7 linked regions of the Sus scrofa genome follow. The protein of the gene in region 7 purifies or fractionates together with the protein of the main gene of each other region. This does not show direct contact. Links are inferred from orthologs where the notes say so. Each region holds a gene or a part of one and is shown on either strand. Other genes may lie near its edges.

The links.
Region 1: the proteins of PHLPP2 (region 7) and USP12 purify together in Homo sapiens (affinity purification with mass spectrometry; 3 studies listed by BioGRID and IntAct, with this or other methods). This does not show direct contact. The link is inferred for Sus scrofa from reciprocal best matches to the Homo sapiens genes PHLPP2 and USP12.
Region 2: the proteins of PHLPP2 (region 7) and USP46 purify together in Homo sapiens (affinity purification with mass spectrometry; 4 studies listed by BioGRID and IntAct, counting the BioPlex papers as one, with this or other methods). This does not show direct contact. The link is inferred for Sus scrofa from reciprocal best matches to the Homo sapiens genes PHLPP2 and USP46.
Region 3: the proteins of PHLPP2 (region 7) and SLC9A3R1 purify together in Homo sapiens (co-immunoprecipitation; 3 studies listed by BioGRID and IntAct, with this or other methods). This does not show direct contact. The link is inferred for Sus scrofa from reciprocal best matches to the Homo sapiens genes PHLPP2 and NHERF1.
Region 4: the proteins of PHLPP2 (region 7) and WDR48 purify together in Homo sapiens (affinity purification with mass spectrometry; 5 studies listed by BioGRID and IntAct, with this or other methods). This does not show direct contact. The link is inferred for Sus scrofa from reciprocal best matches to the Homo sapiens genes PHLPP2 and WDR48.
Region 5: the proteins of PHLPP2 (region 7) and SLC9A3R2 purify together in Homo sapiens (affinity purification with mass spectrometry; 3 studies listed by BioGRID and IntAct, with this or other methods). This does not show direct contact. The link is inferred for Sus scrofa from reciprocal best matches to the Homo sapiens genes PHLPP2 and NHERF2.
Region 6: the proteins of PHLPP2 (region 7) and WDR20 purify together in Homo sapiens (affinity purification with mass spectrometry; 4 studies listed by BioGRID and IntAct, with this or other methods). This does not show direct contact. The link is inferred for Sus scrofa from reciprocal best matches to the Homo sapiens genes PHLPP2 and WDR20.

The regions. Positions count from the first base shown.
Region 1 is NC_010453.5:4,686,992-4,690,983, reverse strand, and holds the start of USP12 (ubiquitin carboxyl-terminal hydrolase 12), read left to right. Parts: upstream 1-1,192; 5' UTR 1,193-1,556; coding exon 1,557-1,604; intron 1,605-3,992. UniProt on the Homo sapiens protein: Deubiquitinating enzyme that plays various roles in the regulation of the immune response and inflammation.
Region 2 is NC_010450.4:39,579,191-39,583,459, reverse strand, and holds the start of USP46 (ubiquitin carboxyl-terminal hydrolase 46), read left to right. Parts: upstream 1-1,469; 5' UTR 1,470-1,825; coding exon 1,826-1,861; intron 1,862-2,260; exon of another isoform or gene 2,261-4,269. UniProt on the Homo sapiens protein: Deubiquitinating enzyme that plays a role in behavior, possibly by regulating GABA action. May act by mediating the deubiquitination of GAD1/GAD67.
Region 3 is NC_010454.4:6,480,740-6,484,825, forward strand, and holds the start of SLC9A3R1 (Na(+)/H(+) exchange regulatory cofactor NHE-RF1), read right to left. Parts: upstream 2,801-4,086; 5' UTR 2,600-2,800; coding exon 2,138-2,599; intron 1-2,137. UniProt on the Homo sapiens protein: Scaffold protein that connects plasma membrane proteins with members of the ezrin/moesin/radixin family and thereby helps to link them to the actin cytoskeleton and to regulate their surface expression. Necessary for recycling of internalized ADRB2.
Region 4 is NC_010455.5:23,763,066-23,766,565, forward strand, and holds part of WDR48 (WD repeat-containing protein 48), read left to right. Parts: intron 1-459; coding exon 460-562; intron 563-2,076; coding exon 2,077-2,174; intron 2,175-3,500. UniProt on the Homo sapiens protein: Regulator of deubiquitinating complexes, which acts as a strong activator of USP1, USP12 and USP46. Enhances the USP1-mediated deubiquitination of FANCD2; USP1 being almost inactive by itself.
Region 5 is NC_010445.4:39,950,025-39,954,004, reverse strand, and holds the start of SLC9A3R2 (Na(+)/H(+) exchange regulatory cofactor NHE-RF2), read left to right. Parts: upstream 1-1,180; 5' UTR 1,181-1,313; coding exon 1,314-1,526; intron 1,527-2,663; exon of another isoform or gene 2,664-2,847; coding exon of another isoform or gene 2,848-2,865; intron 2,866-3,795; coding exon 3,796-3,980.
Region 6 is NW_018084979.1:976,986-981,202, forward strand, and holds the start of WDR20 (WD repeat-containing protein 20), read left to right. Parts: upstream 1-1,417; 5' UTR 1,418-1,483; coding exon 1,484-1,732; intron 1,733-4,217. UniProt on the Homo sapiens protein: Regulator of deubiquitinating complexes. Activates deubiquitinating activity of complexes containing USP12. Anchors at the base of the ubiquitin-contacting loop of USP12 and remotely modulates the catalytic center of the enzyme.
Region 7 is NC_010448.4:14,713,122-14,717,418, reverse strand, and holds the start of PHLPP2 (PH domain leucine-rich repeat-containing protein phosphatase 2), read left to right. Parts: upstream 1-1,497; 5' UTR 1,498-1,548; coding exon 1,549-1,647; intron 1,648-4,297. UniProt on the Homo sapiens protein: Protein phosphatase involved in regulation of Akt and PKC signaling.

The sequences.
Region 1 (3,992 bases), on a different chromosome or scaffold from region 7:
GAGGCAGGTGCCTAGAGAAGTGGGCCAGCTACGCTGGGACTTGGGTATATTCTATTTGCAATCGCCCCCTCCCCAAGCAAGCTTATAGTGGAAATCACTGTGGAAACAGCATTCATGTGCCAGAAATCTATTCTTCATCTAAATTTTGTTTGAATGTTTTGTTTTTTGAATGTCTTAAACCTGCAAGTTAAGGCATATCTGATTTTAGAGATCTGTCTGAATTTCTGCCCCAGTGAAACCGAGGAACCCCAAAAAGCCCCTCGCCACGAGTTCTCCAACAGTGAAAAATCACAAGCTTTCTAATATAATAATTGGTAAAGCTATGCTACTAACTTGAACTTCTTTCGCAAATAGGAATAAATAAAGCCTAGCTGTCTGGCACAAAGAACAGGGTGCAATGATGCATTTTATAAAAACGGCACATAGGAACTATCCCCCTGACTAACACCATCTCTCTTTCTCACAGGACATTGTTCTCAACTTGCGGGACTTCTCGTCTCTGGGAACATCATCAGCGCGGGGTTGACATCCTCCCTATTTTGCGACTCAACTTTTGGAACCAGTATATTTAGATACTATATTTATAACCATATTCTAAATTTATGGCCGACAAGCAGACAGGAAAAGCAGCTTTGCCCCCTTCCCCATAATTGACCTTTCTTAATTCAAAGAACTAAGCGTATATAGTTTCTTCTTTGCCGCTTTCATTTTTATGTAATGAACTTGTCTTCTGCTACATTTCGGTATTTTGACCTAGGTGATCCACCCAATGTGCGTAAAAAGAAACAAACCACCTTACATTCTAGCTGTTTGGGACTCTCTATGACCTTCGCTATTTTGACCGTTTACGAGCACGTTTCCTCCCGCCGCACCCAGAATTTTGAGACCGCCCCTTCAGTTTTCTGTCTGGACAGGGCCCTCGGTAGAGGCTGCGGGGCAGCCCCTTGCACGACGGCCGCCGAGGGCCCTCATCGCCCCCGGCGCCCCTCTCCCCGCGCACCCGCTCTAGGACCCGGAGGACGCGGGCGGGAGGCAGGGCCCGCGCGAGCCCCTCCCCGGCCGCGCGCGGGGTGGAGCCGACGCCGGAGCTCCCCGACTCGCGCGCGCTCGGCGGCTGGAGAGGCTTCCTCGGGGAGTGGGCGGGGCCGGAGGGGGAGTGGGCGGGGCGCGCGGCGGTGGGCGGGGCGCGCCGCGGGGCCGCGCAGCTGCCGGGCAGGCCGGGCATTAGGGCCTCAGCGGAGCCCGCTCCCCAGCGCGCTGGGCGGGGTGTGCGGCGGGCGGCTTCGCGGGCAGGCGCGGGCCCCGAGGCAGCGGCTGCGCCCTGCGCCGGGGAGGAGCCGGGGGCGGGCGGGCGGCAGGCGGGGGCTAGGGCCCGCGGCGGGGAGTGCCGGCGGCGGCGGCGGCGGCGGCGACGGCAGCGGCGGCTGAGCAGGCTCGGTGCGTGCGTCGGCGGCGGCTCGGGGTCCGCCCGCGGGCTGCGGTGCGAGCGGGCGGCCAGGCTCTCCTCCTCCCCCGCCCGCCGCCGCTGTGATTGGGTGGAAGATGGCGCTGGGCGGATGGAAATCCTAATGACAGTCTCCAAATTCGCCTCCATCTGTACCATGGTAGGTGCGGCGGGGGGGCGGCGGGCGGCCCGGGACCCCGCCGGCGGCCCTGGTCCCCGCCCCTCGCCGCCCGCGGGGCCTAGCGCGGAGCCGCAGCCGGGCGGGGGCGGCGCGGGCCGGGCGGGGGCGGTTGGACGGCCGGACGCGAGCGGAGCGGCCCCGGGGGACGGCGGCGCGCGGGTGGCCGGCGGGGTGGGCGCCGGTCGTCGGCGCCTGGGGCTCGGCCCCCGGTCCCCGCGGCGCCGGGGCGGAGCGGCGAGGCACCCGGGCTGTGGGCGCGCGAGCGGGGCCGCGGGCCCGGCCGGGGTCGGAGGGGAAGGACGCGAGGAGCGCCCGCCTTTCCGTCCGGCGGGGCCGGGCCGGGCCGGGCCGGGCCGGGCCGGGCGGGGAGGGTCCCCGGCGGGCGTGGGGGCTGCGGCAGGAAGGCAGGGTCTCCTCCCCGGCCCGGAGGGGACGGAAGTCGGGCGCAGGTTTCCTCTCCGCGCCGCGGGCGAGGCCGAGCCCCCCGCCGGTGCCGAGGGAAGGGGTGTGTGTGAAGGTGGAAACTTTAAATAAGTGCTGGTGAAATTCCCCCCCCTTTTCTACCCTTCCTGAGAGGAACGAGCTCCCATTTGCAACCCTGAGCCCAGGTGGCGGTCTTGTCGTGGGGAATCCACGTAAACCTTGGAAACGGCTTCAGCATTCCTGTCATTTGTTTACTTTAATGCCCCAGACGCATCCGTGTGTGGCTGGAAGTATTTCTTTGCAGGAGCTGACGGCGAGGGTTGCTGTGTGTGTTTCACCGGAGCTCTGAAATCCACTTTAAGGGGAAAGTGCTAATGCCTGTTGAAAAGTCCCGAGTTAAGCAAAACCTGGGTGCGTTTCAATCCGGTGCTCGGTGCTCGAGCAGAAGGACCAGCTTTCCACACGGTGGGGCAGATTGGTTTCATTAGCTCCTTAGGACTTAGATCTAGCGCTCTTAATTATGAGTCATCACAGAAAAGTTATCCTTTGCAACGCGGGCCCAGTGATTATGTTATCAAAGACTTCTGATATCTTTCCTTCTTTTTTACGTCTTACCAACCCTTTTCAACGCTTATAGCAGGTTCCCCAAACAATCTTCCGTTTAAAATTAGGGGTGGGACCTTGCACATACCTTTAAGAAGTGCTGAATGGTGAATCAGATAGGAGAGAGGCTTTAGAAGCAGATTCTATACAGCACGCCGAGGAACCGTATAAAAAATGGCTGAAATCAGGTGGGATTAAAGTCTACAGTATTAAATCACACTGAAGGATGAATCATTGAAGAACCCGTTTCCTCAAACGGATGTTTGTTTTTCTCTCACAAGTCACATTTTAGGAAAGCCTTGATATTAAAGGGACGATGTTAGAGGGATTTCGGGGGGTCATGTACATTAATTATTTTTAGGTAGGCCAATTATTATCTTATTCTGCTTCAAAAAGAATGTGATAATTACATCTTGGAAAGCGATAATGTTGCCGGATTGCTGAGCTGCACAGATTGTCAGGTCATGGTTCACTGTCAAAGTCTAGTTTCTGGAGTGATGTGTTACCCTTTGCTGCCTGTTCATCCCCGTTTAGCACCTGCCAAGTGCTAGAGGGTATGCAGAGCGCTGGGGAGACAGCAGTGGTCCAGCCAGTCTCTGCTTTCCTGGTGTTGACATCCTAGTTAAGGAAGACAAACTGTATTCACATAACCATATTAATATATACTCTAATCAGATTCAGAAAATGAGGCGCAGAGGGATTTGCCACGTCAAATACGGAGTAAGTGGGATTATGATCTCAAGAATTGTAGACTCCAAAACTCTTTCTAGGGCTTTCGCTCGGGGTGCGTTAGTTGCATGTGGTGTGTGGGTATTGTTGGCAGATACAGAAACATCGGTGCCCAGCCAAATGAGATTGCTCCAGAAGTAGTGTTCAGATTGGGTGTGTCTGTGTTCTCACTAGAAGAAATTCTGATGCGCTCCCAAGATAGTGTTGAACATCTCAAAGTAACCTGCAGTTTATTCTTCAAGAGAACCGCCGTCTGTCGTCTGAGAATGACAAGATTGATAATCAAGAAAAGCAGAGATACTTACCTCTGCGCTTGTACAGATGTCTGGCAAGTTCATGGCTGTCTCTCGAGCGGGTAGCCTTGAAGCATCAGAGGCCTGTCCGTCCGTCCCCCCCCCTCCCCGTCTAATTTCACAGCCTTTCTGTAATCTCAGCAGCGCTTACCACACTTGCTGTGTTGTACATTTTTCTCTTATCTCCTTATTAGGTTGCGGAGGCCCTAAGTGGAAGGTCTCTCGTTTATTTCTGCGGTTTGGTGGAGCACTAACTCCTGTGTGCAGGACAGCGTTCCTGGGTCCTTGGTTTCTGCTCCCCGATGTCTGGGGGAAGTGA
Region 2 (4,269 bases), on a different chromosome or scaffold from region 7:
TTCTAGGGCCGCTCCCTTGGCATATGGAGGTCCCCAGGCCACAGGTGGAATCGGAGCCGCAGCTGCCGGCCTTTGCCAGAGCCACTGCAACTTGGGATCCAAACCACGTCTGCAATCTACACCACAGCTCACAGCAACGCCGAATCCTTAACCTACTGAGCGAGGCCAGGGATCGAACTGGCAACCTCATGGTTTCCAGTTGGATTCGTTAATCACTGAGCCATGACAGGAACTCCAGGGACTGATTCTTTAAATCCATGGAAATATACAGAGCCAAGAAGACCCCAAGAAAGCTTTAGTCGGCTGTTGTCTTTTTAGTCCCATCCCAGGTCCTAAGCATATTAGCAACCAACGGTTCTGAAATCTTACGTGTAGAACACTAAATAGATAATGGAAGACAGCGTGCTCTTTTCCCAGTATGGGACTCTTGGTTGGATAAAAGCTATTTTCAATTATATTAATTTTCCTCTAATTCGATTTGTCACAAAGTATATTGGTTTAAGAATTATCACCGGTTTCACTTGTACAACTTCTCCGATGAAAGCAGTAAATTGTAACCTTGTATGAGAACTGTTTCACACCTTCGGAAATTGGCTCCTCCACTTCACAGGAACCTATCTGCTAAGTGGTGTAGATTCGCTGCTTTGAGTCAGAAACCATGACCTTTTCTGCAGGAAATGCGTACACGCCCATACGATGACCCTTCTCTCAGGGGTTGGCTGCCCCTGAGAGAGGTATGCTTTCCTCAAAGGTGCGGAAAAGTTTGGTTTTCATGCTTTCCAGATTCAGATCTCTCCTCGGCCCTTTCCCAGTCCTTGCGGAGACCTCTCCTTTGTACCTGCTAATGTCACAAATTGCCCAGCGAGCCTTGTCTGGCCTCCGCCCAGACCCAGATTCCTGTCCCCTCCCGGCGCCCTCGACCAGGCAGCTAGCCCGCGGCTGGCCAGGGCTCTCGACCCCACCGTGTCCTGACCCCGTTTACTTCTTGGGTCCCCGCCGGTGCCATCTGGCCGGAGTCCCGGGGAGAAACGAAAAGTTGGACGTGGTCACCCCAGCACCTTGCCCCTTCCAATCTCCCAAACCTTAAAATCCCCTGGGCTGCGGAGGGCCGCGCCGCAGGCGACAAGTGAAGGCAAGAAAGCGGCCCCGCGTCCCCGGCGGCCTCTCTGCGGCGACGTGCCCGGCTTCCCCAGCCCGCGGGCGGCCCCTTCCGCCGGCCGACGCCCGACGCGGGCGCGGTCCCTGCCTCCCCGGCCACGCCGCGGCCCAGAGGAGAGGGAGGAGGCCGCCGGCGTTTCGGGGTCCGCCCGGGGTACCCGCAGCAGCGCGATCAAGGGCCTGGCTGCGTATTCCAGCCCATACAGAGCGAAGCAGGACCTTTTAAAAAAAGAAGAAAAAGGCCAAGCCGGGGGTGGCCGGGGTTGGGGGGGGCGGAAGAGGGAGGAGGAGCCGCGGGGACCGGAGCCGGGGACGGGCGCGCGGCGGGAGCGCTCGGGGCGCGGGCTGCACGCGGCGCTCGGGCCGCCCCTCCTCCCGGCGCCGCCGGCCGCGGCCCAGGCTGCTTCGCTCCGCCACTCCCCGCCCCTCCGCTCTCCCTCCCGCCTCCCGCCTTCCCCGCCCTCCCCGCCTCCTCTCCTCCCTCCCGGCCTCCCTCTCCCAGCCAAACTGAAAGCCGGAGCCCGGGCCGCCTCCCCGCCGCCGCCGCCGCCGCCGCCGCCGCCGCCGCCGCCGCCGCGCCCGGCCTCCCCGCGAGCGCTCCACCATGGCCGGCCCTGCTTTCACCTTATAAAGATGGCGGTGCGGGATCGCTGCAACCTTTAGACTAATGACTGTCCGAAACATCGCCTCCATCTGTAATATGGTGAGTGGCCGCCGCCGCCTCGGGGGTCGCGCCCTAGGCGCCGCAAAGCGAAGAAAGGGAAACCCGAGCCGCACGCCTGCCGGGCGGCCCGCGGGGGTGGGGGCGTGGGGGAGGCGGGGGCCTCGCGGCGCTGCCCCCGAAGTTCCGGGCCCCCGGGCGGGGCGGGCCGGTGGCGGCCCCGGGAGCGGGCGGGGGAGGGGCCGTCGGGCCACCCGCCCCCCTCTCGGACCCGGGACCCGGGAGCTTGCCCGCCGGTCCTCGGACCGCGCCGCTGCACCTCGGTCCTCGGGTTGCGGTGGAAGTGTCTTGGGGGAGGGGGCAGGCCGAACCCGGACGTCCCGGGGGACCGGGTTGGAAGAAAAGCTGGGGCGAGCGGGGGTGGGGGTGGGGGGCACCCATCCTGCCCTTGCGGTAGATAAAGCCCAGCCCGACTCCGTGACCGCCCTCATCTCGTTTTTTTTTTTGAGTTCACTCCTTAAACTGTATTTAAAAATTCACTTGGCAGAGGCCATCGCTGTATCTGGAGACATCTGAAATGCGATAAAGCTGTAAAAAGTGCAAAATGTGGTTAGGGAAGTGAACTTCTACCTGGCTTGGGAAAGCATGGCTATTTGTTTTGGAGGCCTCAGTTTCCCCACCTGTGAAAGGGGCACAAGGTTATATGGCAGTAACCCTTAGAGGCCCTAAGGATGGGGCTGACTGGGGGCGTGGAGGTCTCCAGGGTTATCCTGCCAGATGCTCTGCAGACCCAGCGCAGGCTGATGGGCCTGGACACAGCAAGGGGACTTCGCTGGGCTCCATCTGAGGATTGAGTCCACCGTCATGATGTGGAGATCACTTTAACTTGGGTTTCTCCCATTGCTTTCCCTTCCTTTGCAGTTTCTGCAGGAACAGCCAGAGCCCTTGGGTCACCAGGGTGCATCCTGCTGGTACCTCCACTTGTCAGAGCCTCAGAGAGCACAACCTGCACCCTGGCGTCAGGCATTGCCCTCCTGTGCGGGGTTTAGAGAGGGTGTACTTTGCCTCCACCCTCTAGGGGTACCACTCCCCTCCCCCCAGCTGGATGGAACACATGTTCTTTTAGTGCAGGGTTCGGGGGGAAACCTCCCTTGAAACACGCCACTAAAGGGAATCTGAGGAGGCTTGATTGAGAAGCCTGGGAGTAAGGTGATCTGGCTGCCCTTCCCCCCATCACCCAGCTTTTTAAATCTTCTGTCCCACATTCTATTGCAAGATTAACACATGGGAAAGGAGCATTAAGGAGCCATGTGTTAGCACAGGGGTGGCATCCAGACCCACTGGTGCTGGCTTCAGTTTTCAGCAGTGTTGATGGTGGCTGCCGCCCTCGTTGGCAGAGCACATGTGGGGCCTTCCCAGGGGGACAGCTGCAAAGGTATTGGTGCAGGACCCCTTGCATTTCCTCTCTCCCCTCCTTCTCCACTCATAGACAGGTCTCCCGCTCCTCCCTGTCGAGTGGCATGGATGTTGCTTGGTGCAGTGAAAAGGTGATGCCTTTCTTCTCGGTTTCTCTGTCTGCTAAGACCTGCTCCTGAGGGGAACCGTGAAACCAGAGCAGCTCTAATCCTCTGCTTGGTGCCTGCTGGGGTGGCCTTGGGCTTACAGGGCAGTGAAGCCATTGGTGTTGTTCCTATCCTGCTTTGTGTGTGGTGACACCTCTCTGGATTGAAGCCAGCTGGGAACTGGAGTGTCCCAAGACAAAGCCAGCCTCCAAGCTTTTTTATTTTATTTTATTTTTTTGTGCCCTCAGTGCAGCTGGGGCTTCTTGGCACACCTGAGCCGAATGTTACAACCCATTTCCAGTAGAACTTGGCCGGGGAGGCAAGCTGCAGGGAGAAGGTGAGAGGAAAGGGCCAGCACTGGGTCTGGAGAGTTGACACCTCACGCGGAGTCCCTAAAAAGGCCCCCAATTTAGGATCATCACCCAGGCGAGGTGAGGAACCCATAACTCAGAACTAGAAAGTTTTACGTTCCTATATAGACACCGTCTGGAGTAAGCGATGAAGAGTTTGGTCTCTAAATCAGACTTCCTGGGTTCAGTGTCCTGGTTCTGACACTAGCTTTTTGTCCTTGAACCAGTTGCTCTGTCTCTTTACTCTCCTTACCTATAAAAGGGGGAGGCTAAGGGTTCCTGGCTCATGGGACTGTTGTACTAAATGAGTTACTGAGCCTAGTAATGAGCCAGTGCCCATTGAGTGTCAGCTGATATCTACATCACCTTTCTCATTATTATGTCACCGTCAGTTGTCCAAAGGACAATGGAGATGATGTGTTTGTGGACCTGCTGGAAGCAGCCACTCATCGAAACAACCCACTTGTTCATGGATGCAAACCAGCCTGACTGTGGTGTAGATGGCCCAGTGGGAATCCTTAGCCCCGCCCCTTACAAA
Region 3 (4,086 bases), on a different chromosome or scaffold from region 7:
TTGAGGAACAATGTTTGATGTCTATTAATACATTTTTTTTTTCAAAGGCAGGGTGGGTCACCTGCATGCTCCCACGCCAGGAACTTCCTACCAGAGGGATCAACGCTGCTGAGCAGCTCTGCAGAGGCTGAGGGACCCCCAGCTCACTCACTCAGAGCTGGGATTCAAACGCTTGGGCGTAAAAGGAGCTCTGTCCAGCACCCACTAGGGGCTCAAGTACTTCCCATTATTTGGAAAATTCTAGAGAAGGCAGGTGACACTGGAAACCAACACCCCCATTCTATAGATGGGAGAACCATGGCACAGAGAAGTTCTGACTTGCTTGGTGACCTGAAACCCCAAGAGGCCTGGTGACGATGTCGCTGGGGACTGGCTGGGGGTCTCACTCCCTTCTAGGGGCCCCACAGAGCACACACACAAATGCAGGGAATCTGATTCTGTGCTCACCCAGAGAGCTGCCTTTCCAGAAGGCCTGATGGGGGGTGCACGTGCTAGGCCAGGCCTCTATTCTAGCTCTTTGTCCTCTACCTCCCCGCAGGCCCTCCCGCACCCAGCAGCGAAACCAAAAGGGCACTGGGAGGAGCCGAACATGACCGCAACCTGGGGGGGGCGGGTTGCTTGTGAAAGTGCCAAAGTCCAAAAAAAAAAAAAAAAGAAAACAAAAAAACGGAATGGCAAATTGATGCACTCAGCACAAAGTTCAAACTGGATTTCTGCCTGGGACCAGAGGTCGTGAGTTCCAGTTCCCTGGTGTCAAACCCCACCAGGGGTGCTCTGACCCTGCCCCAACCCTTGCCGATGCCAGCTGGGCAGTGGCAGGAAGTAGGAGCCTGGCGGCCCTGGCACCCAGTGTTGTCCGGACAGGGCTCCAGGTGACCTCACTTCCACCAAACCAGTTGGTTTTCTCAGGCTCCACCTTCTACCTTAAAGGCTGAACTGTGCCCTTTCTCTGTCAAGGGAGGCTTGTACTGGCACCAGGGACACCCCCGCCAGCAGGTGGAGAGCTGGTACAAGCCAAATGGGCCCTGGGGAGGTCCAGGCCCTGCTCCCCAGTTTTGCCGCGAGGCCTTCCCCGTCACTCTCAGGGGACAGGAGGATCAGGGCAAGTCCTGTTTTCCCTCTGCCCCCAACCCCTGCAACTAATCCAAACTGGACTCATTAAACACCAAACATGGGCAAAAAAACAACCAGCTTGCTTGCTGTCTGGGGACTGGAGTAACACAGCTGATGCCAGGGCAAGGGCACCTGCCTGTGGTGACATGCTGGCTGCTATTACGGTCCAATGACCCTGGACCACTCCCCCCCCTTCCCCCAGCCATTTCTCCTCCTCCAAGGTCTTCCCTCCTGCTCCCAGATACAAGCCAGCGCTTACTCCTCACATTCCTGAGAATCATAAATCCTCCTGGGTGACAGAGCCGCCACCCACTCCCACCAGACGCCTCTGCACCTCCTCCCCGCACGCACCCCACCCCCACACATCATCTGCGGTGGTGGAGCGTCTCCTTTTTAGAAGTCACACCAGACTCTAGGAGGAGGATGAAGTCCAGCCAGGCTGCAGTTAATGATCCACGCGCCAGCGGGCTATGGGGAATGGGGGAAGTGACAGGAGAACGCAGTCGGTAACCCCTCTCCTCCCATCGGGGCGCCACACGGAGAGGGGGTAGTTATTCCTTTAGTTCTTGGAAGTCAGGGCTGCTCTCACTTCAGCCCAGCTTCATTCACCACCCTCAGGGGCGGCGAAGGCAGCTGGTCAGTCCGGCGGGCCTGAGGTGGGACTGGGGGTCCCAAGGGACGGGAGCAGACGCCACCAACAGAGTGCGGAAAAGGGGACTGGGCTCCCTTGCGCCGCCCTCTCTGACTCCTACTCCCACAGGCCAAGGGACAAGAGGTGCAAGTGGCCAAGACGCTCGGGGTCCCAGCCCAGTCTGGGGAGAGGAGTAGGGGTCGTGAGTCGCAGCCTCAAGCCTGCAACTGCCAATTCGCCCGATCCGCGGGCGGAAGCAGTCTCCCCCTTGAGGATCGAGTTTCAGAAAGACAAGGCGGGAGCAGGGCCGGGCGTCCGGGGCGCCTGGGTCTCCCCACTCTTCCCCCTCCCATTCGGTTCCAGCCTCGCCTCCCGGCCCGGGCCCACGCTTACTGGCTCCTGACGGCTCTTCTCCGCCTCGTGCGGCTCCGGAGTGGCGGCCGGCGGCTCATTTTCGCTGTCAGCCCCCTGCGCCTCGGTGGCGGCCGGCGGCTCGGCCTGCCCGGGCCCTTCTTGGGCGCGTAGCATCTCCTCCCGGACCTGGACGCCCAACTTCTGCAGCCGCTCGTCGGTCTCGGGGTCGACCACCAGCAGTCGCACGGCGTTAAGTGCGGCCCGGATGCGGCTCACCACCTGCTGGTGGGTCTCCTTCTCCACGTTCTCGCCGTTCACCTCCACTAGCCGGTCCCCGGCCAGCAGTCCCGACTTTTCGGCCGGCGAGCCGGGCTCCACCAGCCGGATGAACTGGCCTACCTTGCCCTTTTCCCCGTGCAAGTGGAAGCCGTAGCCGTTCGGACCCTTCTCCAGGCAGCAGAGCCGGGGCAAGGGTGCCCCGGCCGCCGAGTCCGCGCTCATCTCGCCTTCAGCGGCGCGAAGCAGAGTTCGGAGACGGGATGGTCCAACCCTTTTCCCTACCCTGCGGGCGGGGGTGGCGAGAACGACAGCGGAGGGGAAACCTGGCGCCGCGGGACCTGAGAGAGAGCAGGTGTCCCGGGAGCCGGGGCGGCGAAATGCTGGGAGCAGAGTTCGCAACGTTCAGACCAATCCCCGCCCCGCGCGGCGTCTGAGAGTTCCAGAACCCGACCCGGCCCCTTATTTCGGGGGCGGGGCCGCGCAGAGGGTGTGGACCACCGAGGGCCAATCAGAGGCCACGAACTGGGGCCGCTCTGGCCGGGTGAACAACACCGGCCAATGGGAGTGCGCAGGGGCGGGACTCTGCGCTCTGTGAGACGCCCCGCGGCGGGAGAAGAAAGAGAGCTCAGGAAGTGGAAGTGTTTGTTACCAAGTGGCTGGAGTTGAGGCGCGAGCGGGGAGGCGGGGGCACAAGGAGGCGGGAGCGAGTTCCTGTACTGGGCAGAGCGGCCTGCAGGATCTGCTCTGATTTCCTCCCACCTGTGTCGGGGGTTGAGCAGAGCCACCCCGTGGGTAAAGGAGACTAACGTTTGGACAGACTTTAGCTAAAATGTGCAGCTGCCGTTGGAGGTGGGAGTAGGGGCAACTGTTGCCAGGAACACCCGCTCCCGTCCGGAGACCCCACGAATAAGACCTAGGTCCACCTCGGACCCGACAGAGTGGTTTGAATAATGGTATTTTCCCGTTTGCAGGGTCACTGTGCGCTGTCCCAGGACCTGCTGGATCCTCGCGGGGACAATGTGAGGGCTCAGCAGAGAGGAGAGAGCTGCCTGTCGAAAACAGGACACCTAGGGCAATGGTGTGGCATTGGCGTCAGCCTTTGCCTAGGGAGGTGGGGGCGGGGAGAGGCAGAACACAGGTAACCAATTTCGGGGTGCAGTCCACAGGAAAAGGAGTCTTGGCTTTTTTCATCCGAGAAAGAAAAATGATGAGGACTGAAAGGGAGACCTTTCAATTCTTTCTTTCAGATGAGAGGCTGGGTCTGTTAAGGGTGAGGTGACCAGCTGGGGACATTGAAGGATGAGGATCAAATGATTTTGGCAGTCAGTGATAAGCAACAACAATGCTTTCAGCATGATCTCCGCGCCCCCTCCCCCACACACACATTATGTGCACCGCAGAAAGCAGCGGACAGGGTGTACTTTCCAAAATACTGTAGTTTAATTCTGGAATACACAAATGCTAAAGGCCCGGAGCAGCCTAGGTGATTGGATTGTCTGCGACCTGCCTTGTGCCCCAGAAGATCCCCTGCAAGGTCAGGCTCCTCCCTGCTCTGCCTGGGAGAGGCCTCGGAGAGCTTCCTTATCGGCCTGTCAGGCCCATCAGAGCTGCTGACTCTGCTCAGAGAGCAAGATTTCTGCCTTGAAAGCAAACGCAGTAGCCTGAGAAATGTGCAGCGCATACCTTTCTCACCCCGCTCCCCTGCCCCT
Region 4 (3,500 bases), on a different chromosome or scaffold from region 7:
TAGGGGATACGTAGAGAGAAGTCACAGAAGTACTATTAATTCATAAATCTTAATGGAAGAAGATTTAAGTTTTCTTGCTTACCAGACTTTATTGGTGATAATAACAGAGAAACTGTGTTTATTCCTGTTTATATGCAGGTCAAGTGGTCTTTCTCTGTACTTGTAAAAAAAAAGTTATATTTTTTTGTCTAAATTTTATTTTGCCAATTTGAGATCAACATAGCTTTACCTAAAAGAGTGCCCCCTGTTCTCTCCAAAAAGACAACATTCTCTTCTTAATATTTGTCGTATTTTTTTAATCATGGTAGTATCTAATTGTACTTTGTGACTAAGTATTTTTGGTTGATGTTGTTATTGTTGAGTTTTTTTCATCCATTTATTATCTTTCTTGCCGCTTTAAATGGATTGGCAATGCTTATAAAGCATAAGATAATTAAATCATAAATTTTGTTCCTTTAGACATTGAAGGGAATTCATAATTTTAGAGCCTCTGGAGATTATGACAATGACTGTACAAATCCTATAACACCCCTGTGTACACAGCCTGACCAGGTTATTAAAGGTAAGTAAGGATATTGGAAGGTATTGTACCTTTTACTGAGGTTGATTATAGTTACTAAGAGATTGACAAAATAAGGGAGATGACCTTCCTTTAAATGTAATTTTGATGTCAACCGAAGTTAATAGTAATTTTTTTTTTTTTTTTTTTGTCTTTTTAGGGCTGCACCGGTGACATATAGAGGTTCCCAGGCCAGGGGTCTAATCAGAGCTACAGCTGCCAGCCACAGCCACACCCACAGCAATGCCAGATCGGAACCACTTCTGTGACCTACACCACGGCTCATGGCAATGCCAGACCCCTAACCCACTGAGTGAGGCCATGGATCGAACCCAAAACCTCACGGTTCCTAGTGGATTCATCCCCTGCGTCATGATGGGAACTCCTAATTGGTTTAATAGAAGAAAAAGATTTTATTTATTTATTTATTTATCTTCTGTCTTTTTAGAGCCGCCCTTGTGGCATATGGAATTCCCAGGCTAGGGGTCTAATTGGAGCTACAGCTGCCGGCCTACACCACAGCCACGCCAAATCCAAGCCGAGTCTGTGACCTACACCACAGTTCATGGATCCTTAATCCACTGAGCAAGACCAGGAATCAAACCCACAACCTTATGGTTCCTAGTCGGATTCGTTTCCACTAAGCCATGACAGGAACTCCTAAAAAAGATATTTTTAAAATGCTTTTTAGTGACTTTAAAAATTGAGCTTTCTTCAATCTGACTAGTATCCATGAGGATGTAGGTTCCATCCCTGGCCTTGCTCAGTGGGTTAAGGATCCAGCATTGCCATGAGCTGTGGTGTAGGTTGCAGATGCAGCTGGGAGACATTGCTGTGGCTGTGGTGTAGGCCGGCAGCTGCAGCTCTGATTTGACCACTAGCCTGGGAACCTCCATATGCCATGGGTGCAGCCATAAAAAGCAAAAAAAAGAGAGAGCTTTCTTGAGTTAATCTTTTTGCCCAGTGTTAAAAGAATCATGGTCTTGGTAAAGCCAGCAGCCACTTTGTACAAGGTATAAGGTTTAATGTCTTTTGGCACAAGCCAGAAAGGGTACACACTCCAACTGGGAGTCGCAGCTCTCTCTTCAAGGTCAGAGTTTGGGGTTAGAGTATTGAATGGTGCGTTTATCTGTAGTTAGTCTGTGCTGTTACCTTTATTCGAGAGGCATAAAGCGAAGGAAGATGGGAAGCAAAAGTTAATGAGAGATGAAACTAATTCGGAGATTTCCATCATTTGGACTTTTCCCAGTGGGTAAAATATTATTAAGGGCTTTGCCTTTTCCAGTAGTAGCCCTTTGAAGTGAATGAAGAGTCTTCTCTAATGTGATATTAAAATCAGTCTTTCTTTGATTGGCCCTAAATTGCCTTAGATATAATTACATGGTCTTCTGATTTCCCTTCTCCTTTCTAGGGACGAGTATGATTTACATTCTGTTACGTGCCAGTTAACATTTTTGGCATACTATGAATTTAAATGTAGGATTGTTTTGCTAATTATGTGGATTTTTTTCCTTTAGGGGGTGCTAGCATTATTCAGTGTCACATTCTTAATGATAAGAGGCATATATTAACCAAAGATACCAATAATAATGTGGCGTATTGGGATGTATTGAAGGTAAGTATCTTCTTGTAATTAAATATAGCTTGTTGGATTATGTAGCTCTTTACTTTTTTATTATAGTCTGTGTATTTGTGTGTATGTTCATGTGTGTTTGTAAAATAACAGACAATACATAATAAGGATTTAATTGCAGCCTTAATTTGGAGTGGATACTTTCTTACGTGAAATTAGATAAGGCTATTTTTTATCTTTTTAAGTACCCAGAATTTGAATGGAACCATTTTCTGTTTAGTGTATTACAAACTGTGTTATGCTGCCTTCCCCTAGAATGAGTACATCGGGATTCTGAGTCCTTTATACTGTTAACATTTTGGGCCCAACAGCTCCTTGTTGCAGGTGGGAGGGAGGAGTAGGATCTGTCCTGTGCATATTAGGATGTTTAGGAACATCCCTTTGTTTCTACCCAGTAGATGCCAGTGACCACCTTCATCCTCATCCCCTACTTCAGCTGTGACAAACAGAAATGTCTCTAGATATTGCCAGTATTTAGGGGAGAAAGGAAGAAGAGGGATGCAAAATCACGCCAGGTTTAGAACTGCCAGAGTGCACCAAATACGTTTGGCCATTTCTCAGGATTTATAGTCATCACTGTGAGCACAGCTCCTACTTTGGGTCATCTTACAGTTACTCCTTAGACAATTGAAATGTATTAAGCTGTTCAACCACATTCTAAATAGCACTGAAGACGTTTTAGGCAGACTGAAGAGTTTGATTTTAGAATCCTGACAAATGTCCCTCTTTAGTGTTATTGGTATATTTGTTCAATAAATATTTCCTGTGTTGAATGAATATTGTGCAGAGAACTGTGTTGAGGGTCATAGATGACAGAAAAGTCAGAATATTCTATCTCATGATCCCTTCTGGTAGGGGGGACAAGAGTAGGGGAAGGTGAAAGTCTTATAGAGAAAGAATAAACCGAGTGCAGGATAGCTTGTGGGCAAGGGTGATTACTTAGAACTGGAGAAATTGGAAGAACTTCTTGGTGGAGGAAAATCATTTGAACAGGGCCTTAACGTATTCTAGCAAATTGATTATGGGAGGGCATTTTAGGAAGAGGGAATGAATGACAGAGGCACCGAAGAGGAATGTACATGCTTACTCAGGGCCAGGTGAGTAGGTTTGTGTAATTAGAGACCAGAGTGAGTATAAGGGAGTAGCAGGATATAAGGATGAAAGATGAGATTCAAGTCATTTCCCAAAAAATCATGAGTTTCAGCCCCAGACTTGGCCTTTCTTTAGTACTCCCCAAAGATTCTTTATCTTAGATGATTTTAGAGCAGGAAAACCCTCTGTTTAGAGCAGTAGTAGTATGTATAACAG
Region 5 (3,980 bases), on a different chromosome or scaffold from region 7:
CCAGGGGAGAGAGGGCCTGGAAGGTCTGACATACCTCCGCTCTCTCTGGGCCAGGGCCAGCGGCCAGACCTCTGATCTCCTGCCACCTGACCGCCTTCCTGGCTGCTGCCGGCCTCACCACTCACCTCCCCTCGCTCATTCCCAGCCACCCAAAAGCTTCCAGCCCTGACACCTTGCATGCGTGCTCCCGGCTTTGCCACCTTGCCTTCTCCTCCCACACCCCTGCCCGTGGAGCTGAGGGAGGAGGCCTGGGAGGCTTTGCCCCGAGAGCTGCTGGGCCACCTTTCTTCAGCTCTGTTACTCAGGCCCTCTGTTTTCCGTCCCCCTCACTCCTTCTCTTCCCACTCTGGAACTGCCACCCGCAGGTCTCAGCTGGCCCCTGCTGTTACCCACTTCCTTGCTCCCCGCCCCCCTCGTTCCTTGGATGTTCTGTTACTCTAGACGGAGAGCCTCTCTCGGTACTCCTTCGGCTCCTTTGGTGCTTTCGGGCCTCCTTTGTTATTCTGGGGTGTGGTGTTCCTGGCCCCTGGCTGTGACCATGTCACTTAGTTACCCGCCTTACAGCGGTGTTCTGTTCCTGGCCACCGGCACTCACGGGCTGAGTGCTGGGCTGCAGGAGGCAGGTCTACAGAAGGGGACGAGGTCACTAAGCTTCCTGAGCCAAGCGGCCAGGGGTACCTGCCTTCCCTACCCCTTGGTCTGGGGGTCTCCGGACCACCTCCGGCCACCACCCTCTCAACTCTGGTGTGGCCTCAAAGCTGTAGCCTGGCAGGTCCTGGGTGGTTCTGGCTGCTATGGGGTGATCCCTGAGCCCCATCTGGGGTGGTATGTGGCGGCTTCCACTCCACACCCACCCCCACAACCTGCAGGGGTGGCAGTACTAGGTGGGGTGCAGGGGGGCCAGTCACAGGCCACGAAGGCAGCCTCTGGACAGACAGAGGGAGGCGGCTGGCCCCAAGGAGGCTGACCGAAGGGGGGCGAGACAGAGAAGGACTGGGGGGGGTCCCTGGCCCTGCGGCCCCTCCTGGGGCCTCGCGGCGCGGGCGGAGCGCCGAGGCAGGGGGATGGCCGGGGTGGCTTGGACCCGGGGCGGGGGCGGCAGGGCAGAGGGGGCGGGGAAAGGGCGGGCGCGGGGGCGGCGCCGCAGCCAGATCCGGAGCCGGAGCCGGAGCCGACGGGAACCGAGCGGGAGCCGCCGAGGCCGCCGCAGGGTCTCCCGCGCCGCTCCCGCGCCCGCCCCAGCGCCCCCGCCTGCCCGCGGCGGGCGTGAGCGCCGTGGCCAGCCCGCGGCCGGCCGGTGGGCAGCAGGCGCCATGGCTGCCCCGGAGCCGCTGCGGCCGCGCCTGTGCCTCCTGGTGCGCGGCGAGCACGGCTACGGCTTCCACCTGCACGGCGAGAAGGGCCGCCGCGGGCAGTTCATTCGGCGCGTGGAGCCGGGTTCCCCGGCCGAGGCGGCCGCGCTGCGCGCCGGGGACCGCCTGGTCGAGGTCAACGGCGTCAACGTGGAGGGCGAGACGCACCACCAGGTGGGTGCCTGCGCCCCGCCGCCCCCCATCCCCGGAGCGCGTCCCTGCCCCGCGCGCGCGCGGACGGCGCCAGGGACCACCGGGCCGCCTGCGCCCGCGCCTCGGCTCCCCCGCCGGGGCCAGGAGGGGTCGCACAAGGGCCTACGTGGGCTCCCGGGGACAGGCGGGGGACGTGGCCACCGAGGCAGCGCCTCCTTCCTGGCCTCCCCCCGCCCCCGTCGGTTCCGCACCGCGGAGGTGGGGGGGATCCTGGCAGGGAGGGGCCCGCAATGCGGCGGCTCCTCCGGTTCTGGCCCTGGCTCTTGAGTCTTGTCCGGCCTCCGTACAGTCTGTGCAGGAGTTGGTGCCTCGGGGGTCTCCGTGTGCCTGGGGTCCCCGGCGCTTCTCTGTCAGTGGGGACACACGCGCGCGTGCACTATGGGTATGCGTGTGAATGTGCAGGTCCCTCTGGGGATCACCCTTGTGTGTACCGTGCGGGGTGTCGCGGTGAGGGCACACTTGTGTGTGTCTGCATCAGTTAAGTGTGTGTGTGTGTGTGTGCTGGACTGTGTGCACGTGAGTATACAGGTCTGCACTGCTTAGATGTGTGTGTGTGTGGTGGGGTGCCTGACCTGGGTTGTGTGTATCTGTCTTGGCCCGGGTGTCTGCCTGCTGGTGTACTAGTGTGTGTCCTGACGGTTGGTGTCTGGGTCCTGGTGGGCGTCGCTGCTGGTGGCAGCACATTCCTGTCCTAAGAAGCTGCTGGGCAGCCTGGTGGGGGGTGGGGGTGTGTGTGGGGGGCGTCACTGGCTGTACCCCCCGGCCTCCTGCAGCTGAGGGGAAAGGCCAGAGGGGGAGGTTCTCCTCAGGTTCTGATCCCTGGGGGGTGTCTGCCGCCCACTGACCTGGGATCACCTGGCTTGGGTCCTGTCCTCCTCCACCCCTTCTGCTCAGGATCCCCGCGTCCCCCAGCACCTGTCTATGTGGCCGGCCCTGGGGCCTGGAGATGTGTAAATTGGCTCTTGGCTGGGCTGGGAGCCGAACCGCTTCTCTTCTGGAGCTTTTGTCTGCCCATCTGTCTGCCGGCCTGTTCTTTACCCCGAGTGTTGGCAGGATGAGGCTCTTTGCTGCCGGGGGTGTGGGGGTCGGGGCCGAGGTCTGGGATTGACAGGCCAGGGGGCGGGCCCCGCGCAGCTGGCGCCTGGCCTCTGTTTGACATCAGCTGCCGTCTTCTCCAAGAGCGAGGCTCACCCCAGGCCTCCCTGGGTGTGGTCTCCAAGGACTTCACACGCGGGACCACGGGGAGACCTTCCCACTGCCCTGGGGGAGAGGAGGTACCATCATGGCTCCCGTTCTGCAGGCGAGCAAACCGACAGTTGCAGATACTGGGTGACTCACCTGGGTCCCACTGTCAGGCAGCATCGGGCTGCTGGGGTCCTGTGACGCTGAGGGTCACAGGGGGAGAGAGATACAGAGGGGGCCGGGGCAAAGGTGGGCCTGGCTCGGACCCTTTGCTCTGTTGCCATCTACTGAGAGGCTGGTGCGGGCCCTGTCTGTCGTCCGGGCCTTGGGGTGGGCGTGGGGGTGTTGCTCTTCCTACCCAGTGCCCAGTGGGCACTGCTTCTCCTGCGGGCACACACAGGCATGAAGGCTCCATGGCCGTGCACATGTTCTAGATGCTTCCCAGACACCTGCGTGAGCACGCCTGGCCCACAGGTGGACCTGCTCCTCCCTAGCTCTGCCTGCCGCGTCTGAGTCCCGCTTCCTGGGTTGCGTGCGGGCGCCTGAGGAGGTGTTTTGCCACAAGCACCTAGGTGTTCCCTCTGCAGGTCCAGCAGGAAGAGGCCCATGATCACGGTCTGAAAGAGAATGGAAGGCTTAGACGCAGGTTCTTCCACCGGGGGAGGCAGCCAGGCACAGACACACCGAGCCTGGGACCCAGGGAGACCCTTCCCCCCGCCCCCCCCCCGCAAACCCAGACGTGCAGACGGGGAAGCCGAGGCTTAGCCGAGCCCCGCGATTGTCCCTTCCCGGCCCCTCCCCAGAGAAGAGCCTGCGCCCAGGCGAGGCCCCCGCAGCCCCTGCAGCCCTTGGAGCCCGGCCCGCTTCGGCAGCCCCGGGAGAGGAGGGCGGGAGCCGCCGGAGCTGGGGGTGGGGGGAGGAGCTGCGGGCCTTGCGGTCCAGCCGCCCACCTGGCCCGGGAGGCTCAAGGCCTGCCCCCGGGGTGCTGCTATCCATGTGCTGCCTGGGGTGCTGGCCGTGACCGGCTCCCGCCTCCTGCCCGTCGCAGGTGGTGCAGCGGATCAAGGCTGTGGAGGGCCAGACGCGGCTGCTCGTTGTGGACAAGGAGACGGACGAGGAGCTCCGCAGGCGCCAGCTGACTTGCACCGAGGAGATGGCCCAGCGAGGGCTGCCGCCTGCCCTTGACCCCTGGGAGCCGAAGGCGGACTGGGCGCCCGCAGGCAGCCTCAGCGG
Region 6 (4,217 bases), on a different chromosome or scaffold from region 7:
AATACATTCCGGCATTTTATAAGACTGCTGATACCTGTTTGACTTTTAGCAGAAGCCAGACAACATGAAAACAACTGTAACAAAACATCTGAGGCATTTTAGGTCTCATTAAGGGGAGGTGACTCTAGTGTTCTGACAACATGGACAGAGGACACAGGGCGTTGGTGTCAAATGCATTATTACATCACTGGTACAGTTGCCACTGGCACCTGCTTGCTTTGCAAGACAGGATGTTTATGATTTAGACGCCTCTTACCTGCGAACTTACCCCCCTCCACTTCTTCTGTGATCCTCCAGGTGTGATGTGAACACAAAGGGATGGATCACTCTTCGTGTAACAAATGCTGGCTCCCCCACCCACACCCCCACATTCTATCATTAATGTTTCTGTCACTTTAGGAACTTTCTCATTCCAGGGCAACATGCCAAGAAGCCTGGGCACAAAAGGGTGATTGTTTAATCTGCAACACGTGTGCCTGTCCTTACATGTCTAGACCGAGTACAGAACAGCCACACAACTACGCCTGGCAAACAATTTCGCAGATTCCGCTTAAGCCTTAAAAAAAAAATCAACAGCCTCCAATTTTTCTAAGAGCTCCTGATAAACTATTGAGTAAGAGAAGTTGAATTCTGCTTAATTTAGATCCTAGTTCCCAAAGCCATTTCCCTCCTCCTTTCTCTAAACACCTGGTGGAGACAAACTTAAAACAGACGTGCCATCACTACCTGCTTTCCTTAAATTAGCCAAGGCTCACCCCAGAGAGGTATTCAGATATTTGACTTGCTAACAACACAGGTGCTGGGCAGGTACACTCCCTTCCCCGCCGCCTCGCCTGAAAAAACGAATGATGAAGCGGAAAACAGGGTCTTCGGTACCTTCTCGGAAACGAACTCAGGATGCACAGGTGCAGAGGGGCTTCCTGACCCAGGCGTCCGGACGGTCCAGCCGGGGGGCCGAGGGGAGGCCCCAGAAGAAGGGGGCTCTCCCGCACCCTCGCGTGGGTAGAACACGGGGGCTTCCGAGCTCTGTTCACGGTACCCCATGTGCCGACCCCGACTTGGGCGGCGGCCGAGGCGGCGCTCTCCTCCGCCCCTGGGGGTCCCAGGACTGCAAGTCAGGACCGGGGCAGCTGAGCAGCCCACGCGAGCTCACGTCAGCGCCTCCCGCAGGCCAGCTCGGGGGCGGCGGGGGCGGTGGAACGGCCGGCCCGCCCCCAGACCCCCAACCGCAGCCCCGCCCCGAGGCCGCGCCCGGGGGCGGAGCCTGCGCACGCCCAGCCGCGTGGAGCGCGCCAGGTGAGCACGCCTGCGCAGTCGGGCCGTAAACAAGCCCGTCCCCTTCTCCTCGCCGGCCTCCGCGGGGCCGGCTCGCAGGTGGGAGGGGCCAGGAGAAAGGGGCGGGGGGAGCGCGGGAGCCCGAGACGGCGCCTGCGCGGTGGGCGTGATCCGGGCACTTAGGGCAGGATGAACGCTGCTTTCCAAGATGGCGACGGAGGGAGGAGGGAAGGAGATGAACGAGATTAAGACCCAATTCACCACCCGGGAAGGTCTGTACAAGCTGCTGCCGCACTCGGAGTACAGCCGGCCCAACCGGGTGCCCTTCAGCTCGCAGGGATCCAACCCTGTCCGCGTCTCCTTCGTAAACCTCAACGACCAGTCTGGCAACGGCGACCGCCTCTGCTTCAATGTGGGCCGGGAGCTCTACTTCTATATCTACAAGGGGGTCCGCAAGGTACCGACCCGGGCGTCACCGGGGCTCGCCAGCGGCGTGGGCCGAGGCCGGGAGCAGGGCGGTGACAGCGGGGCCAGGGTGACCGGGGGGGTGGCCGTCGCTCTTACTTTTGAGTGGGCCGGTAACTCCACTGGAGTGCGCCTGAGGAAGGGGCTTCGGGAGTGAGGAGGGCGGCGGCGGGGTGTCGGACGGGTGGGGGCGGTGGAAAGGGACCGCGGGGCGCGGGGTTCCGGCCGGGAGGCCTCAGAAGGCGCCGGCTGCCTCCCCTCCGGCAGGGTCTGTCCGTCTCTGACACGGCCAGGGAGCGGGCCTGCGGGTCCCCGGAAGAGGTGGGGTGGCCGTCTAGTCTGTTGAGACCGCCTCGCCTCCTGGGAGGGCTGAGAGTCTCGCTCCGGGTTAGGGAACCGGGGCGCGGGGCGGCCTGGGAAGACCTGTAAGGCGGAACCGGGGCTGGGAAGCGGAGCACTTGAGATAGGTCAGAAAGGACCTGCTCGGCACGAAGGGCTACTCCACCTGCTGCCGCACTGACACTTCCTGGGAGCCCCTCCTTCTGATGGTAACACTGTGTCCAGAAACATCCGTGGGAAGACAGCTGTCACTGCTTCCGCGGAGGGAACCTTCTCCTGAGAGGGTGTCACAGGGTCGTGTCCCTTAGAGCATGGGACAGGCTGAGTGCTAGAGTTAGGTGGCAACGACGTTTGCGGTGAACTACGCTGGTTCGCAGGGGTTCTGTGCGAGCGTGCCCAGATCAGTCTTGTCCAACAAGTCAGGCTGTGTCCCAAACAGGGAGGGCTCTGCCTTAAAAGCTGCTTTACTAGAACCATTCTTCTTGGCGGGCGTTTTAACAGTAATTCTGTCAAGCATGTAATCATCCTTTAAACATGTCTCTTCAAAAGGGGCAACTTATTAGAGCTTTTCTTTCCCTGGCTACATAACTTCGTTCTCATTGACAGCTGCTTCCTTTTGAGATGTGCGGTCTTTGAGTTGACTCTTAGAAGAGTGAGGAAATTAGTGTACCTCCCAGCACCTGGGCGTGGGAAACAGTGATAATCGATTGACTGATACATGTTCGATTAGTGTGAGAGTAAATTGTGTATATTGAAGGGTGAACTTGTTGGGGATTTAGTTTTTGCTGGATTCCAAGAGCTAGGGCTGTGACCGTGGTATCTAGATGTATGTAACACGTTGTCTCATTTGTTCTGGGTGAATCTTTTTGGTAGTGTTTATGGTAAGTGTACGGCTGCGTTTGAGGTATCTTGTTGTTGCAGATTACTGAAAGTAAATTGCGGCTTTATTTTTTCTCCTTCGGAATTGGAGAAGTGAAGTAGTTAGTAGTCAAGGAGCTGAAGTTTTAGTCCTACTCTCAACTCTGTCACTGACTTGTTGGGTGACCTTGGACGAGTTATTTAACCTCTATCTGCAGCTCTTTCAAAAGTGAATATTGCAGTACACACCTTGTGATTTATGGTGTAATGATTGTGATGAACTTTAAAGCCCCGCAACACTCAGTGGTTGTAAAGTATGGTTAAAATAAGCATGAAAAGCAACTGTCAAACAGGAGCTCCTGTCTTGACATTGCTACGAGAACTGAAAAGATCAGCTTTTTCTCTGGAAATAAGTTTAAAATTTTAAGTTACTAAAATTGAATTACATAAAATTTAAAAGTACATAAAACCTAAATATGTGAACAATTAATTAGTGGTAGCAGTTACCTTTTTAAATAAAAGTTTTCTTGGAGTTCCTGTCGTGGCACAGTGGTAAACGAATCTGACTAGGAACCATGAGGTGGCGGGTTCGATCCCTGGCCTCGCTCAGTGGGTTAAGGATCCGGCGTTGCTATGAGCTGTGGTGTGGGTCGCAGACACGGCTCGGATCCCGAGTTGCTGTGGCTGTGGCTACAGCTCTGATTCAGCCACTAGCGTGGGAACCTCCCTATGCCGAGGGTGCGGCCCTATAAAGAGAAAAACTGTTTTTTCATTTTCCATGAATGCGTTTGCGTTTATTTTTTGTTATTTCTGACTGTATGTGATTGTTTTTGTGATTCTATTTTCTGATTTTTTTTTTTTTTTTTGGGTCTTTTTGCCTTTTCTAGGGCTGCTCCCGCCGCATATGGAGGTTCCCAGGCGAGGGGTCGAATCAGAGCTATAGCTGCCGGCCTACACCACAGCCACAGCAATGTGGGATCCGAGCCACATCTGCAACCTACACCACAGCTCACGGCAACACCAGATCCTTAACCCACTGAGCAAGGCCAGGGATCGAACCCACAACCTTGTGGTTCCTAGTTGGATTCGTTAACCACTGTGCCACGATGGGAACAACTATTTTCTGATTTTAAAATAGAGCAGATAATTTTCATTAGTCAAAACCCCAAATTTGGGAATCCTGCTGTGCAGCAGAAACAAATCCGACCGGTATCCATGAGGTTGTGAGTTCGATCCCTGGCCTTGCTGTCAGCTGTGGTGTAGGTTGCAGATGCAGCTGA
Region 7 (4,297 bases):
TGTCTTATTCAAATTTTGCCTTAGAGTTTAAAATATTCACACGGAGTTCCTGTCGTGGCTCAGCGGAAATTAATCTGACTAGCATCCATGAGGATGCAGGTTCAATCCCTGACCTTGCTCAGTGGGTTAAGGATCTGGTGTTGCCATGAGCTGTGATGTAGGTCCCAGGTGCGGCTCAGATCTGACATGGCTGTGGCTGTGGCGTAGACCAGTGGCTACAGCTTGGATTGGACCCCTAGCCTGAGAACTTCCATATGCCATGGGTGTGTCCCTAAAAATGCAAAAAAAAAAAAAAAAAAAAAAGAAAAAAAATTTACAAATAGATATCTCATATATGTAGACAGAGGGGCACAGACTGCACTGTTAGGTCTCAAACTCTCTTGTACTAAACATACATTTGGGTTAGACTAGGCAAGCTGAAGCAATGGATAATAGGCGATACCGTTTATACCAGTTATCCAAAGCGTAAGAAAATTTTTTTCTGCTGAATTCCTTACAAGTTGCTTGAAGATTCAACACGTCTGTAAGAGGGGAAGACCTAAAAATCCAGAGGTCTAGAAGATTTCCTAGGAAAATTTAGAGTTGGATTAACAAGGAGAGGACTCTGAGGAACTGAGTATATCTTAAATTTGGAAATTCATAATTGTAATGGTTACTACGAATCACTACTATGTGTTAAGTAAGCACATTGATGCATTTGCAAAGTCTGCAGAATAACTACTAGACAGATACCAATTTCTATTTCACAGCTAAGAACCAAAGGCTTAGATCAAATAAGAGGTAGCACTGATATTTGGAATGAGGCTGGCTGACTCCAAATTTGGCCCATTGGCCTGGTCACAAAACTATCACGGAAGGAACTGAAAGAAAAAATAAATTAAAAATTTCTAAATTAGCCTTGCAAATAATAAAATGGCTCATAGACCACATCGCTCCTTCAAACAGAGAACAGAATTCTAATAATTTTACTACGTGAGGAGAAAGGGAGGTGAGTTGACATTTTGTACACTGAGAATGTCATGAGCATCTCTGATAAGAGAAAGCACCTTGCTCAGGTGAGTGTTCTCAACAATCCGTTCAATGGCTTTGCAAGTGAGGGCGACAGGCCAGTTTTGGAGCACAGAGGAAACGTCTGGAAGAGCTAAGTTACAAGAACCACCCTCTGCGGAGAGCAGCGTCCTCCAGTCACTATTGACAGGTGCAGAGCTTCCCCTGCCCCTAGCCCTGCGGGTGCTTCGGAGGCGGGGACAGCAAGAAATAACACGCCTGTGCCTCAGGCCGCCAAACCTAGGGCGGCAGACGGCAGAAGCCCAGCCCTGCGGTGTTGCCTGGCTTCGCCGGCGGGGTCCGCGGGCAGGCGGCCCGCAGCGTCCGGGGGACGCACCGCGCCCGCAGCTACGCAGGGCCGGCCGGGCTGCGGGAGGGCGGGGCCCGGGGCGGGGCTGGCGGGCCGCGGGGGTGGGGCCGCTGGCTGCTCGCGCGCGCCGCCGAGGCTCCGCGCGGCGTCGCGCCGGCCGGGCGTCCCTGTGCAGCCTCAGCCAGCCGCCGATGGGGGAGGTGGAGCCGGGGCCCGCGGGCCCGCTCGAGCCCCCGGAGCCGCCCGAAGCGCCCGCGAGCCGCCGGCTGGGCGGGATCCGGGTCCTGAAGGTGAGACAGGCGGGCAGACGGGCTGGGGAGGGAGCAAGAACAGGGAGAGGCCGCCCCTGCCCCGCGCAGTGGCCGAAGCTGCCGGCGACCCCCGCCTCGCGTTGGTCCGTCCGCTTTGCTCTTTGGTTGCCCCGAGACCCAGCTGGAGGGGCCGCGGCACCGGCGGAGGCCTCTGCGCCTGGTCCCCGCCGAGGCCGCGGCCGCCTCCGTCCCCGCCGCTGCCCATCCCTGGCCGCGCGCCACCCGCCTCGCAGGCCCATGCCTTGGGGCCGGCGTCCACCCGGTCGCCGCCGCCCACCCGGCTCCTTCGAGACCCGGGGGCCCGCTTCTGCCTCTCTCGGCCGCGCCGGCAGCCCCGGGGCCGGCGGCTCCTGGCCGGAGAGCGGAGCTGGAAGTACGCAGGGCTTTCTCCCCGGACACCTGAAGACATCACCCCAGCGGGAGGATGGCGGCGGTGATTGGCCGGGCGCTGCGGTGTGCTCGGAGCTGCGCCTGCTGGAGCGGGCCGACTCTGCCCTCGGAGCTTCACCACCAAAGTTAAGACCCGCTCCCCGCTCCGAAGCGCCGGCCTGGAAGCACGACCTGCCCGGCCTGGAGAGAGAATCCCCGGAGGAGCTTCATCTCGGGGAATCGCTGGGCGTGTTGCAGAGGGAGGAGGGGTTGGACAAAAAGGGGCATTCCTGCTGGCGGGAGCGGGGCTGACAAGCCAGGGAGACGGTAATGGGGAGCAGTTATGCAACAGGCAACTAACGGGGCTTTTTGGCAGGAATTGGGGGGAGTAGGAGGAATTGAAGGCAGATGCGGGAGGTGGGGAGTGGAGTCTCGAAGATGATGACAAGAAGTTAAAATGCACACGGAATGTAGGGCGGGGACGGTACCGTGAAGGTGGTTAAAAGCAGGGGTTGTGGGACACTCCCTGGATAGAGTTCTACTAGCCTTTGAAAGAGTTGGAGAGGAATTTTTCTGTAGGTCAAATATGTAAACTAGGTGTCCTTCTGGAGATGGAATGGAATTCCTTCTCGAGTTCTAGAAAAGGAATCAGAGGATTTAAAAGTTGCCAGAGAAAAAGGAAGAGAGCAAATAAAATTTAGATTGGACGTGTTTCAGAAATACTTTGCGGAACAACGAAAATACTTAGTTACAGTAGTTGCTCTTCAGTCTTGAGGGTGAGTGCTGTATACTTGTTATTAGATTATTCCTAGGACATCACAAAGATGGCAACACTGGGGAAAAAAAAGATTTGGAGCATCTGATAAAAACATGAAACTACATGAAATAGAACTCTGTAAAATGTAAAACATTTTTTTTTTTTTTTTTTTGCTGCTACTACCTCCCACTCTTAATGCAGTGACTTAGAGAAATAACTTCATAGTTTATCTTCACTTCTGCATAGGCCTTGTATATACTTATTATAAAATACTTAATCATGTTTTAAATGTAATTACTCAAAGACTTGGATATTTACTTAAAACTATAAAGTCACAAAAATGTATATTGTGAATGAACTTCAAAAAATGATCTTCTGGCCTGCTTATCAGGAAAGGGCAGGTCTGAGAGATAGGTAATGCCCTCTGGCCTAGAAGGTAAACAACCTTGGCTATTTTTACAACTTTTTTTTTTTGATGGAGAGGGAGTGAGTTGTGGGAGGGAAGGAATTGAGAAATAAGGATCTTTCCTGAAGGGTCCGACTTTCCAACCACTTCCAAGAAGTGGTCCTACCCCTCGTTTAGTGGGGTTCCAGTCTGGGCAACATTAGAAAGATTGCAGGGGTTCCCTGGGGGCTGCCCCAGGTCAAAGATCTAGTTGGTCACTGCTGTGGATCGGGTTGGATTCCTAACCTGGGAACTTATGCATGCCATGGGTGTGGCCAAAAAAAGAAAGAAAGATTCCAGAAGTTAATCTTGATCATGGTGCTGAGCTGGTGGTATGGGAAACAGACAGTGTCTAAGACCCTTGTGTCCTTTACAAATAAATAAGATCAGCTGTGAAGAACAGGTGTTCTACAATTACAAATTCTCTTCAATAGCAGAGCGGTTGAATTTTGTGCCAGGTGAAACTGGAAAGGAATGTATAAGTAGAAGTATTTCTGAATTGGGAAGAAAGTCATAGTGTCGCCTACATATTCTTCTGTGAAAACACTTTGAAAAAAGACTTATCATTGTTTTTCGTAACTCTTTTACACTTAATACCAAATTACGGACATCATATTGTCAAGAGTGTAGGCCTTCATGAAAAGGCTAAAATGACTAAGCCAGTGCAACTTAGCTAGGTTAGGTCTACATTCACTCTAAGGAGTATTGGAAAATTTGATTCAGCATTTACCTCTAGATTTATTTAGCACTATACTCCTTTATAATTGTAGTTAGAATGTGAGTATGATATTTTTAGTACTCTCTTATTGGGAGTGTCTTTGAAGCAGAAATTTCCAGATGTTTGCTACAATTTGGGGATTTTTTTTTTTTTTTAATTCAGTCTGTAGAAGAAACAAAGTTATAACTAGTCTAGTCAGTGAATGCCAAGAGATCTGTTTTTTCAATAATAGTTTCAGGTTTTTATCAAAATAATGTGTGTATATAGTTTTTACAGTCAATCCAAAACGATCTTAGGGAACTGAAGTATTCTTCCTCATCTCATCCACCCCTCCCAAAAT